2 linked regions of the Oreochromis niloticus genome follow. The protein of the gene in region 2 purifies or fractionates together with the protein of the main gene of each other region. This does not show direct contact. Links are inferred from orthologs where the notes say so. Each region holds a gene or a part of one and is shown on either strand. Other genes may lie near its edges.

Region 1 (7,591 bases), on a different chromosome or scaffold from region 2:
GAAGCAGCCAGAGGGAGGATTTGATGATGCAGTGTAGCCAAAATAGACTTGAATGAGACATTCTGCTACTTCTGCCTCTATATCCATAGCGTTAGCATCTTACAAGACCTGATGAGGTTTTACATGCACAGGTTCTGGACTGAGCACACGCTTTGTATCATTTATATCAGACCTGAGTGGGTTTAAAATACATACAGTCATGTCATTTTCTATGATATAAGCATATCTTCATTTGTGAGCTTTGAATGCAAGCTTCAGGCTTCTGGCAGAGACAAGCTAGCTCTTTCACCATTTTGCTTATTATACCTTATGCTAAGGTAGACTAATGACTTACTGGATTCAGCTTTATATTTAACAAGATTACAACTAGTAACAGTCTTTTGATCTAACTTTCAGCAACACCATGGTAACCAACGTTTCTGGTAGTCTAAATGTCATTAGCCATGGCACTTCTCACACAAACTCTAATATTTCAGGTGAAAAATTCTACGTTTTGTGCCAGATCTGGGTGTTACTGCTGTAACTCAACAAAGATTCGATAAGAATGGGAATGTCTCAAAGTAGTACTTTAGAAAAAAATATGTCGCAATGTCACTGCTACTTCCCTGTATTCTGACATGGTTGCAATTTATCCAATGCTGGTTTCTGTTCAGGGAAATCAAACATGTACGTGTTTGCTGCATTGTTTTTTCTTATTTTGACTTTTGTGTGGGTGGCTGTCTGCTAACCAGCATGAAGCCCACCACCACCAATGTGTACTTGCATTCTACATGCACACATACTGACCGCATGCCCACAAAGATGACAAAGTCACAAAGAAAGAAACCCAACAACCTTTTAACTGGTGATGTTGGGTTTTATAAGAGAGAGGTGTTATAAGTTTTAAAATGTATAAAAGTCAAAAACATTAAAAGTATGTATCTCCTATATTGTAGTTTTAAGGACAAACAAAGTGACATTTGTACCTTGATTTTAACAATGAAAATATTTTACAAAGGTAATGTGTGAACATAAAAAGGATTTTTATATAAGAGTCTATGAGGACAAGATGCTCTCAACAGTGAGGACAATTAAAACTAAACATCCTATGAGTGCGAAACACCACCTTTAAAACCTTTTACACTTACATTGTCAAGCAATGTGGCTTAAAAGCACAAAAACATAAAGCACTAAAATTAAACCAGGTCAAATAAACTTGAGTGCTTCCCTACAGGGAAAAAAAGGGGAAAAAAAGAACAAAGCATGTTGCTGTAGAGCAGAAGGGCACGTTGGTTTTTAACACCTGTTATTCAAAGTACAACGGAAAAATAAATAAATAAAAAGTTTATGTCGTTCTCCAGGAAACTAAAGTGCGCAGCTGAACCGCAGAGAAAAAGGGAACATGTTCAACTAGTCCTGTAGGTCAGCAAATAGCCTTTTAAATTTTTCAAACAGCTAGAACAGAAGTTCTAAGGAGATGACATATTCTTTGGTGAATTGTGTCAGGACAGTCAGAAAATAAAACAGGGCAAAACAAAAAAGAAAACCCCCACAAAAAACGAATTAGCGTGGGTTGTTTTTTTTGTTTTTTTTTTAGTGCTAGCTAATATGCTCTACATGCTGGCGCTAACATGTTGATTTTTAGCCACCTTTAGCATATGGTAGCATGCTAATGTACGGTATGCTAATTGGAGAAAGCACTGCTTAGGCTGGCAGAAATATTATTAGGTTATTATATTGAGGCATATTAGGTTTTCAACCAAGCCAAACAGCTTAAAGGAAATTTTGACTTGATAACATTACTATCAGTAATAGTAAAGTAATACATGTTAGGGAAAGAATATGACAAATCCCAACAACAGGGTTCACCTGGAGGGGAACACGAATGACTGTTGATCTGAAACTAGAGTACTTCTTTAGCAACACCAAAACCTAGCTTTATGCATGCTAAAAGCATTTACTTCTGTTGCTTCTAGGCTGCCGATAACACAGCTATCCTACCATATAATGTTAAAAATGGTTAATATCTTATATTTATGTGGAAGGGCTGAGTGCAGAATAAAGTTGCTGGACCTAGCTGGCCTGAATTGAGTTGTTTGACTAAGAGTTAGGGGGGAAACACAGCATTAACCTAATGCAAATAGAAAACAAGCACACCTGAAAACCAGCCTACAACACATTTGTGAACTGAGATGGCAGGGAGTAAATGTAAGGAAAAAGGCGAAACCATATTTTTCTTGGTAGAAAAAGGTCAGTGAATGAGTCCATTAGCCAGCGGTTTGGCAGGTTTGCACAGGCTTGTTTTGCACTTTGTTGGTTCAGTGCCTCTGTTATATTTTTAACTTGTCAGCAAACAGCCGGAAACTAGGGGTCTGAACGGCTTAGGGGCACACACGCACGATATATTGGACTATGACACACACACTTCCTCCTTTTGCAATAGACTGAGGAAAAGACTGGATACGTGAATAAATGCAGTGAATTTTAATGTTTAATCCGTCGCTATACCATACATGAAACCATACGAATAAAACTTTTATAATAGAAAATAAAGCATTGATTTTAAACATGTTGCACTGTAGAGAACTTTCCTTAAACTAATTATACTTCATGTGAGTTATGACAGTGCTTAATTAAGCACAGTCATGTGGATGCTTTATTAATTAATAAAGCATCCCCAAAAACACAGAACAAACAAACAAAAAATAATTAAATTTAATAAAACTTCTTACATTTACCTTTTTCCTACTAATAAAAAAAGTTACATACACTTTTACCTCTCCTAATGCGTCTGTGTAAATCAAGCATGCGTCTGCCTGATGTCACTTGGACTCAGTATACGTTACAGCTTACCTCTCTCAATCTGTATCCCAGGTTAAGAAAACGGTTAATCCAAAATGTAGAACCGTTTCACTCCTCAGCTACGTCCTCTCTGTGCTTGACATGGAAGTGGGTGACACACGCAGTGCGCTGGTGTTGAGGTGGTTTGACAAGTGGGTCAGCTGGCCGACCTGGACTGTTATACCAATGAGTGAATGAGGAACTGGTTGGGGATTTTTCTTTCTTAGTGAAACTTCCTGGTACAATTGTCTAATGATTATTTGCATAATCAGCACTGCGCGCGCGCGCGCACACACACACACACACACAGAGTGAAAGAGACTGAGAGACACAGCAGACAGATGGTTTTTCAGCGCTACACATATGGAAATACTATACTTGTTTAACCTGAAGTGGAGGAGAATTTTCCAGTGTGTCATAGAGTCCCTTTAATGTAATCCTCTTAAAAAACAAAAACAAAAAAAATAAACATATTTTATTTTCGTCTCATGTCCTTTAAAAAAAAAAAAATTAAATAAATCATTCTATACACTTTCTATCAACTGTTCACAGTTGAAGTCTAATGCACGTTTCATAAATTCTCTCACAGTGCTACCTGCTGGTCAAACCGCAGGCGTACAGCAGCACAGAAGACTTGCATTTTTCCTCTTGTCCAGTTTATTTCACTTTGTTTGACATGGAGAGTAGAAAATACGGTTATGCACATTCAGACAAACAGCTACAAATTTCACAGAATCATGCACCTGCCAAAATCCAACATGCTGAACAGACCAGAGTGAGCCCCGAAACAGTTACATGGCAGTTTACAACCTGAACAGCTGATTGAGTGAGGATTACAAAATAAACAGTTATAGCTACATTATCTTTAGTATGATCGACTTACTGTCAAGCTGGAGGATTACAGGAAGGTTATAGTTAGCAAAAATGGTGAAGAAAATGACAGAACACAGAGTTTTGTGCATGCGTGGTGGTCTGTACAGATGATAACGTCAGCTAGCTATTACACACAGTAGCAGGAACATAGCTCAGGCTCAGTGTCAGAGAAAACAAACAATGTTATAAATCCTGGAAGCTCCACGGAGTATTGCATATCTACATTTAAGGAACAGTTTGACATTTTGGGCAATGCATTTTCTTAGTTAACTGATGACAGATGAGAAGATCAATCTCTTAACAATGTAGCTGGAGCCTGCAAATAATTAGCTTAGCTGTCAAGTATAAAGAGTGTCTATTATGCTAATTTGCAGCTCACTAGTACACTAGAGTGTTGCAAGATTTATGATTTTTAGAATCCTTAATTATCTCATAGTGTTGGTTACGCACTCCCTGGAGGTCACGTCACCTCTCATCCCCCTGCACGCTGAAAAGTGAAGGTAATGCGGGGCCAGTGTATTATAATGTGAAGCCAACAGCTCTGATCCAAGCAACACTATGTGACAAAACAGCTCATCAATGTCAAATGAAATATTACATACTATATTTTAATGTGATTCAAATGCAACAGGTTTTATCAGTGACCTGTGTAAAGGTGCAAGATTTGGGTGGATTTTTTCTAATGCTAATCTTTTAATTGTAACCTGTAAGGATGTTTCTGTTATCTTATTCATTTGTTTACTTCATATTAGTTAATATGTCCATCTGCAGGCCACCTCAGCGCTAACCATAGACCGGACAACATCACCCATATGTGTCTGAATTCCTACTTTGAGCATTTCTGTCATCACCGTCTTGGTCTTTTGAAACTGGAGGTTAGGAGAGAGGATTGGATGTCAATGTGAACGCAAACACTCAGTGGTTAACAACTTGTGATTAACAAGTTATTAGTCAATGAGTAGATCCTAATAATCCTTCCGAGACTTAAAATGACCATAATTTACAAAACTGACTGAGTGTTTTATCTGGTATGATCTGATATGAGGGGCTGAGCCCATAAAGACAGCAGGAAAGTTTTTAGAGGCCATGTCTGGGGGTCATTTTCCCTTAGACTTCAATAGAACTAGAAATCGTCTTGGAACAGGGGTATCCCATAACCTCGTGTCGGTGTTGTTCCTGCATCATCTAGGATCAACATTGCAACTGACCAGTCATGTTCTTGTGATGTCATAGCTTTACAACATCAAGAAAAAAAACAACAACTTTTGGATCAAATGGTAAAATTTTCAAGTCCTTTCCTTATTATTTAATACCATATAATAAATGTATTATCAAGTTAGGTTTGCTGTTGCCAAATGACTCGTGCTGGTTTACTAGTGACAGTTTTTAATAGCATTCACTAGCTTCTTGGCTAGTGCTAACTGAATGCTCAGTTGCTATGTTAATCCTGGACCAACAATATTATTATCATGTACGAACAACACAACCCAGAGACATAGGATTGAGATCTTGCAACCACATCTATCGCCCCCTGGTGGCTATTAAGACAAACTCTAGCTACATGCATTATATAGCACATAGACATTTTATCATTTCATTAGCAAGAAAGTAAAGAAATGCATTTACAAAAATGTCAAACCATTCCTCAAAGGTTGTGATAATGAAATTGTTAGAAAAGGGTTTTAAAAAAAAGGTATAAACATTTTTTTAAACATGTACATCAATCTTTAATCACTGAGCGACTGACATTTAAACTGAGTGAAAGTGCAATATTAAGTAATATTGGTGTCAACAGACCACAAGGCTACTGCTCCGTTGCATCCTGCCACTTTCTACAGTACAGAACAGTGAACACACTCTTCAGCATATAAACAAGAAGTCAAACCGCAGCATTGTCCTCTCAGGTTTACTTCAGCCCAATCCATTTTCCTCTGCAGTATTATCAACTTAGCGTTAGCATAAAGCCATTAACTGGCAGTACAATCTATCAGCACCACTACTTCTACAGACATGCTACTCCCACTGTGAGCCATTACTTCAGCACATGTCAGTGGTCTTACAAATTGCTTCAACTACTACAAAACTCACAAAGGAGCCTCGTCTATTTTCTTCCTTTATTTCAGTCCCCCAACCTATAGTGTTTAGTAACTAAGACTGAAAATAAAATTAGCTTTACAAGAGCTACAAATTGGCCTCTCTGCTTACCCCCGATTCTGAAAAGCACCCTGCAATCAATCTGTTATTCTAGTGCACAGCAGAGCCACGCTGGGTGTTCACATTACAGCACTTCTCCAGTTGAATTTGGAAGACTGTGCCCTGCTTGAAGGCATATCAGCAGTGACGGTACTACCCTCCAGCCACCAGCCCACTTTGGACAAACAGGTTCATCATGGTGGGAGCCTCACTCCATCCTGCAAATCTCCGTCTGCGGGCTGGAGTGTGCTGCAGGTTAGCTGTTCCTCTGCTCCGCCTCCCTCTGAGCCGAAGAGGAGGAGCTCTGGCTGTCCTCGGTGTCGTCTCCATCTACAGAAAAAAAAATAGCAGGTTAGAACACCACATTAAAAACTTTCTGGATGCCATCAGCTGTGTAATTGTTGCTTTTTTTAAAAAAAGTAACATCCACTGTTTGCAATAACTTATATCTCTTCTGCTAGATGTGTTCTTCATCTGGAACAACCACTTCATTTGTCCTCACCCTCTTTATATAACCAAAAGATTATTACTTCTCCTGGTGGTAGAAAGTATAGCAGGGCTCATTTTTACCTTTGTTTGGGTTAGTTAAAGTACAAAAATAATGATTTTAAAGTTTTTAGTGTAGGTCGGTGCAAGGAGCACCCTCCAGAGCTGAAAAATGAAGCCAACAAGGGAGTGGTAAAAACTGCAGTTCCTCCAGGTGGCACTAGATGAGGTTGACTCTAAAAGTGAGTACACTCAAAGACAGCTTTGATCTCCATGTGTAGTTTTCCCATATTTTATAACTCATCCACCTGCATAACTGAGTTAGGGGCACTGTGCCCCAACACAGGCAGCTGCACCTGATCGCTGCCTGCTAGGACACGTCCACTGCTCTGAGTCCTTAAACTGGACGTCCTCACTGTGTGTGTTGTTGTATCCTTTTGGAGCATTTCTCTGATCACTATTATGGTTTGCTATTTGGTACAGACCACCTCAGAAGTTTGGCTCTCATTTTCACAGTGAAGACTAAGCATTACCTTTTCAGATCCTCCAGACTTCTTCCGGATGGTGCATGGCTTTAGATGTGTTAAGGCAGCATTACTTTTCAGCTTTCCGTTGAATTTGAAAGGTGTTAAATTTGTTATAGTTTGTATAAGTTCTTAAGATGTTCTGTAACTTCTATTTTTCTTACTTTTTTAAATATGTCCTCATATGTATATTCTCCTTGTGTATATATGCCTATTTATCTATTGCCTATTTAAAGCCTTTTTTGTATACAGAGACTAAAGTGAACCAGAGTCAAATTCCTTGTTTATGTGCACAAACTAAGCCAAATAAAAATTATTCTGATAACCATCTCAAACTCCTGCCTATATGGTAGATGGCTGCTCCTCCCTGAACCTGATTCTGCCAGAGGTCTCTTCCTGTTTAAAAGAACTTCTTTCTTCCCACTGTCGCCAAGTGTTTGCTCATAGAGGATTGTTTGATTATTAGGGTTCTCTCCCTAGTACAGTAGCATCTTTACCTTGTTGTGAATTGGCCCTATATAAATAAAACCGAGTGGAATTTATATACAGGACTTTGTGCGACCAGACAGTTAAATTCTGATTTCAATCCCAGGGGTGAGAGCCAGGTACACCCCAAACAAATCACCAGTCCATCACGAGCCATTCATACAAGTAATGCATTCTATACAGTTAACACAGTGTAAAATCATGGAGTC
Region 2 (7,023 bases):
AGGACTTAAAATGAGAAAAGCAAGAGACACAAAATGACAAATGATGCACAAAAAGAAACAGAGATGCAAAATGACTCCCAAGGAGACACCGAATGACCGTAGATGGACACAATAATTAAAGCGATACACAACAAAACAAAACAGACACAGTATGAACTCAAACTGATCATCACTGAGGAAGAAAAAGAACCAGGAAATTGAGAAACAATTTGAGACACAAGACGATGATCAAGATGCAAACTGAAGAGAAAATTATGTTCAGATATTCCTGAATAAATTTAACTGCGAACCTGCGATGAAGTCAGCGCCCTGTCTGTGATATACTCCACCTCTGCAGTCAACACAACGGATGAAACTTCAGTCGCTAAGAAAATGTGTCATTAAATTACAGCTCCTCATACAAACGTTGGTGATTATAAAGGGAAATCTTGATGTAGCTGCTCATCTGGCTCACGATCCGTGTGTGAAGCACAAACAGAAAGTGATGCGTTTTCTTGGTTTGGTGTGAGAGAATGACAGAGACAAACCGGTGACCTTGTGTTAGACCCATTACATGCACACTGACTGTAAACTTCATTCAGTTCTGACCCATACTGTAGGATAGTTAACGATTCTGTGAGTTGTGGACAGGTGGATGGTTTGATATGGCATCAGTATAACTCACATTCTGGGTTTATTGTGTTCTTTGTTTGTTTTTGGTCTTTTCCCATGCAGGAAAGGCATCTTTTGCATAACTCTGGACAAGATTGGTGGACATTTGGGCATAAGGTCCCAGCACTACTGGTGCACGCATGATAGGTAGAGATTTATAGAAATTCGTCTACGTCTTGTCGCTGTGGACAATAGCCAAAGTGGCAGAGATAAAGATCTGCAGGACAGCCACTAACGTGAGAAACTCGTGTTCTTGCTGTGCACTTGTTGGTCCTTCAGTTTCATCCCTGCCACAGAGAAGATAAATGTCACGACATACAGAGACCTTGGTGGTGTTGTGAAACTAAAAACAGTGGAAACTGTCCACCGTCTCTGCTTCTAACCATGTCTCTTTGATCTTTGTTGTTTTTTGTGCTTTTTTATCATTGTGGTAAAGTCTTCTATGGTCGTTCCCTTTCCTGTTTAACCTTTTCAACCAATCAGCGTTAAACGAAGGCAATGCTGCGTTGGCTTTTTGGAAGAGTGTGTGCAAGTATTTTTCACAGCTTGCGTGCTGGTTGAATTCCTGTAATCCTTCACTCCACGTAGCCAAAGATCTCCAAAACAGTCTTTGTAAGGAGCTCCCTCTGCATCTACAGACCCCAACGGTTTGCCAGTAAAAGTTTGAGCACTGATTCTGAACAGTTGTCTGGTTTGAATTCGCACCGCCTCAGTGATGCTCTTAGCAAGTTCAGTCGTCCATGCCTGTGATCAGCCAACCATACCAAGCAGGGGCCATGTTGTCTGACAAGAGTGCCTTGCACAGCTGGAAATTCAACAGTTTTTTCCATTTAGAATCAGAAATCAGCTCTAAATAGAATAAAACTTGTTTAGCAGCAGTGAACGTGCTGCTGAGGAAACATCTAACATAAAAAACACAATCCTGTGCCAAAGACCTTTTCAGAAAAGAAAAAGCACACTACCGCTGGTGTGGTGATGCCAGTTTTACCACACAGGCATGAACAGACCTGAACTTTGAATTAGTTGTTTAAATCGTGAAGATGTCAAGCTTTGTGCCTTTCCACTGAGATCCAAAGACAGCAGAGTCACTGAATGTGGGAAACATATATGCTATTACTCCTGTTTTATAGATGGATTGCTCACTTGAGGAGAAAAAACAATAATATCTTTGCTTGTTTGACAGTTTTTTAAGGACGTATTGTTTTCATAATGTGCTTTACTTAAAGACATTGACATTACGGGTTATGGTGCTATGATTTTAATGGTCTGGCACACTTGAGATCACATTTAGTCGTTATGTGGACATGAACTAAAATAAGTGCACACCCTGATTTAAATCAGGTCTGCTGCTTGCAGTCACTTAAAATTTGCTGAAAATACAACCACATTATTAGATCATCTCTTTACAGTTATTCATGCATTACATTTTTAGCAGAGCAACTAGTAATCTGTGACCTCTTAATATTCAATACCTTCCAGCAGTGAAACTGACGCAAAATGACCAACAAAGACAAAAAGCACACAAATGACCCCAAACAAGGCAGAAGAAGAAGCAACAACAAGGAAATGCAACATCACACAAAAACAACTTTTATGGGAAAGAAAAGGTCTCACAAAAGTGGCGCAAAACTACAATAAAATGGCACAACAGCTACACAAAGCCCCACACTAAAGGCGCAGAGGGCCCAGTGTCTAATATCCTGACCAACACAGTGAAGTTTGAAGGACTGGAATTAAATACGGGTGAAACTGTTCCACGTGGGCCCAACGGTTCACCTCAAAACGAGTTCCCCAAAGAAGAAATGTAAAGTGCGCCGTGCGTGAAGGCTTTCGGAGGTACCGGTCCCGCTCTGACACGGAGCTGCCTGCACGCTGAGCCGCCTGGTCAGACACATCCTCTGCAGCCCCGCACACACTGCTGCTGCTGCCGCCAGCAAAAAGCGGATTTCCCCTCAGCCAGCTGAACTGTGTCACACCTCGGCCGCCAGAAAACTGACACCAAAAACAGAAAAGAAGGAAAAAAATAAAGAAAAGTAAAGTGTCCGGCTTACCTTGTGAGTGAAATCGATTCCTTACAGCTCCCCAAAGTCGCCGCTCGTTTGTCTTCTATCTAATCATGATTGGAAAGTTTTAAAGTGAAACAGGAGAGGATGTAGAGCGCTGACAAAAAGGCCACTCGCAAAACGGCCAGTTCCTCTATCCGCGTGTGTGTACAAGGAAGTAAAAGTTAACTTGCATTATAGCCCGCAAGTTATAAAAAAAAGTCCGGAAGCAAGGACGGTATCTATGCAAAGTACGAGAGGGCAGTGAGCTGCAGAATGAGCGCTTCTGATGCTTAGGCTTGTGTTTTCACATAAAAGTCGTAAAAGGTCGTTTATAACATGTTTCACTGTGTGTGAGTCTTCTCACAGTCTCGCGCGCTCATGTAAACACGCGCACAGCTGTTTGACCGACAAGTGTCAACTAACAGGGGCGTTGCCAGGTTTTTTATTAACGGGTGGCACAACAGGGGGTTGGGGGGGATTAATTATATCAGAATAAATACAAAAACAAACAAAGTGGAAACTGTTTAAAAATTCACAGATTTATGATGTGAACTGTGGACAGACTGTGGACACCGGGAGAGTCATCTCCAAAAAGATGGGGACTGTATTGAAGGAGTAGTGATGGAAGTTGGGGGGGGGGGCATCATAATGGGAAGAACAGTAGGGGGTTACGAGGGCTGTAATGGCAGGAAGGAATCTAGCAAGCCTTTGTTTTAGTTTGCTAGAAAATTCGAATCATATTTCAATTGTCTGGATATTTTTTTTGGGACTGTAGGGTGTACACTATAGTCTATAGCACACAGGAGTATTAGGTTATTATGTACACGTTGGTAAGTTGTCTGAAACAAATGAGCGTGCTGTGTGTGCAACAGTGCGGCAAACATTACCCCTCCTTTTATTTAATGCACAAGTAGTCTGGTCATTACTTGCTAGCTAACTGGGTAAGAGTGCCACGGGTCTGTAGCTCTGTCCACTGTTATAGGGAACATATTTAGTTTTAAAGGAAGTTACGGGGCTTACCCTCCTTTGTGGAGGGCTTATATTTCACCTAAACTATCTAATATGCATATCCACACACATTACTATAACTACAATATTTTTTTAAACAGTGTTTTAAAGAAAATACATTAAGAAACAGATTATTTTTTATTTATATTTCAAATGTGAAAAATGCTGATTTTACAGCAGCAAAATTATTCTTTCTCTGCAGTTTAAACATTAAATAAGCTTCTGCCTGCATAGAGTGGATAGTCAAACAAGCGCAATCATTATAAAGGCATTATTTCATGTTAATGACTTTTTTTTTAACACACACACACACACACACACACACACACACACACACGGGAATAGCAGCAACCCTTCAACAGCAACATTGTACCTATCAGGTAAAACATAGGCTAAGTTTGCTTTGTCCCCACCTGACGACAGTGACAGAGTAGGTGCTAAGAGCATGTGCCCACCAGCTCACCCTCATCTTCACCCTCATCTTCAACCTCTCCCTATATCAGGCAGCCATCCCACCCTGTCTAAACTCAGCCACAATCATCCCAGTGCCGAAGAAGTCTCCCATCACCAGCCTGAACAATTAGCACCCTGTGGCCTTCACACCGGTAATTATTGGCAGCATGGTGTTCAGAGAACAACCTGGCACTGAACACCAAGACAACCAAAGAGGTCATTGCTGACTTCAGGAGGCACAGCACTGACTTAGATCCCCTGTACATCAACAGGGAGCATGTGGAGAGGGTCCACACCCTCTGGTTCCTCGGTGTCCTCATCTCCGCTGGCATCTCCTGTACAGACAACATCACAACAGTCGCCAAGAAGGCCCAGAGTCTGAGAGTCTGAGAGTCCTCAGGAAGCACAAACTGGACTCCAATCTGCTGCTCACCTTCTACCGCTCATCCATTGAGAGTCTGCCGACATACTGCATCACAGTATGGTACGGCAGCTGCACTAAGGAGGACAGAGCAAGACTTCAGAGTGTAGTCAAGACAGCACAGAAGATCATCAGCTGCCCTCTCCCCTCCCCGATGGACATTTATTCCTCCCGCTGCCTTTACATGTCCAACCTGCTCCCCTCAGGAAGCGCGACAGGTGCATCAGCACAAAGACAGACAGACTCAAAAATAGTTTCTTCCATAACAACCCTGAACTTACACATGCACTGACAACACAGTTCCAGCCCCACTCCAAGGACTTCCCTCTATACACAGACTACAAACTACCATCACCACTGTGCAACACTTAATTTTACGTGCAGTAACTCACACTGTAAAGATATAACACTATTTATTTATTTATTTATATAGTGCTGCAGAACTGTGCACCTCCCCTTTCTTTTCCCAAATGTCTGCACTGAGTAGGAGATGCGCTGTATCCCACTGTACATGTGTACAGTGACAATATTCTGTATAGTATGATGCCATTCCATATTAGATTCCTGATGAATGTGGCTTGTTGTTATTCAGCCTGTTTCTATGTGCCTCTTTTTAACTTTGAGCACCCGCCCCTTCAAACATCTCAGACTCACCAACATAGCACAGCTAAGTCTTTCCATCAATGTGAGTACTAATGTGAACTCTGAGTCATGTCTGTAGCCAAGAAAGTGAATTCAGGGTATTAAAAGAGAAAAAAGGGAGTGGGGGGGAGGAGAAAGCAAGCTGCTCACAAGAAAGGTGAGCAGAGCACAACTAACTCGTCATGCTTGTAGTATACGTGCTGTTTATATTGTACATATATGTTTGGAGTACAAAACTACAGTTTCCTTAGCTAAATACAGTTACTATTTCTGGCCTGTTTTTTGTAACTCAAACATGGCATACAAAGAAAATTACATGTAATTAAAATAAAAGCAGAATCCAGCCACAACTGTCTGATTGTGAAATCCAAAGCAGGCCCAGACATTTTTTTTCTTTATCGTCATGAAATATCATTTTTTGTGTTTCTGCAGCTACAGACCACAGATCTTACTCTTTATCTAACCCCCCTGTAATGCTGTACAGATCCTACATCAGATCCTACTAAAGCGAAAGTACATTCGGTTTTTCATTTCTTGCTTTAAACATCTTATATACACGCTGGCCACATGCTGGGCTGGTGTTGGAAACACAGATTTGGGTCCATGTTGCCATGTTAGCGTCACACAGTTGCGGCAGATTTGTCAGCTGGACACACATAATGGAAATCTCCCATTTCAAAACATCCCAGGTTTTCTGCTGGACTGATCTGAGTTCAGTGAACCCAATGTTGTGTTTGAGATAGCTGAGCACTGTGACGCGGTATGTCATGCTGCTGGAAGCAGCCATCAGAAGACACGGTCGTAATAAAGAGATGGAGTCTCGGTTTCTCAGTGTGGTCTTCTGCTGCTGTGTCTTGTGCATTCAGAGATGCTCTTCTGCACATCTTGGTTGTAATGAATCTTTATTGGTGTTATTTTTGCCTTCCAGTCAGCTCAAAGCATTCTCCTCATACATCTGGCATCAACGAGGTGTTTACACCCGCTCACTGGATGTTTTTATCTTCTTCAGATGATTCTCTATGAACCTCCTCTATAAAAGATGGGTGTGAGGGAAAATCTGGCACCAACACTCATGCCACATTTTGGTCACCTTGACCATGTCAGCATGCCTGAGTTGCTGCGATGTGATTGGCTGATTATTATTCATCTTAAAAAGCAGTTGAACAGGTGTATCTGACAAAGTGGCTGCTCACCAGATATGAGTGAAAAATTATTATAAACCCAAGATGTCGTAGGCATTTGTTTCACCTGCGTTAGTCATAGGTCCAAACTCCAAAGAAAGATCGTGAGTATTTTCAATTGCTGAAACATACTGGAAGCATTTGTTCATCCAATGTTTTTTTATAAATATCTTTTTAAAAAAGGCAACACAACCTCATTTCCTTTACTCTGAATTTATAGTCGGCCTATTTTCAGAGAGGAAATTTCCCGCTGTCTCTTCTGAGCAAAGAATGATTATTTAGGCCTGGATTTCCTTTTAACTGAATAAAACAGTAAATGTAATATGTCCTTTGTTAGCAAATTAAGTTTGAGGTTTACTGGTTGACATCAGAACTATAGAAAAGTCAGCATGTGTGCAGATCAGGATGAAGAAAATAAAAACCCTGCTCTGCCAGAAACAAGAAGAAAAAGCTACAAAGATGAATATTTTAGAAAATATGACGACACCGTCTATTATTTTACAGACCCTACAAGGACATTTTAATGCCACAAATTGGAGAAAATATTCAGAAGAGTGTAAAATACAAGATGATCCCAGATTACGTTTATATTTCTGGGAATATAATATTAAAATCATTTCCT

What was found. The genes of interacting proteins can lie anywhere in the genome.
Region 1: the proteins of plcg2 (region 2) and lyn purify together in Homo sapiens (affinity purification with western blotting; 3 studies listed by BioGRID, with this or other methods). This does not show direct contact. The link is inferred for Oreochromis niloticus from reciprocal best matches to the Homo sapiens genes PLCG2 and LYN.

The regions. Positions count from the first base shown.
Region 1 is NC_031982.2:5,597,896-5,605,486, reverse strand, and holds the start of lyn (tyrosine-protein kinase Lyn), read right to left. Parts: upstream 3,025-7,591; 5' UTR 2,833-3,024; intron 1-2,832. UniProt on the Homo sapiens protein: Non-receptor tyrosine-protein kinase that transmits signals from cell surface receptors and plays an important role in the regulation of innate and adaptive immune responses, hematopoiesis, responses to growth factors and cytokines, integrin signaling, but also responses to DNA damage and genotoxic agents.
Region 2 is NC_031972.2:2,876,500-2,883,522, reverse strand, and holds the start of plcg2 (1-phosphatidylinositol 4,5-bisphosphate phosphodiesterase gamma-2), read right to left. Parts: upstream 3,018-7,023; 5' UTR 2,703-3,017; intron 1-2,702. UniProt on the Homo sapiens protein: The production of the second messenger molecules diacylglycerol (DAG) and inositol 1,4,5-trisphosphate (IP3) is mediated by activated phosphatidylinositol-specific phospholipase C enzymes. It is a crucial enzyme in transmembrane signaling.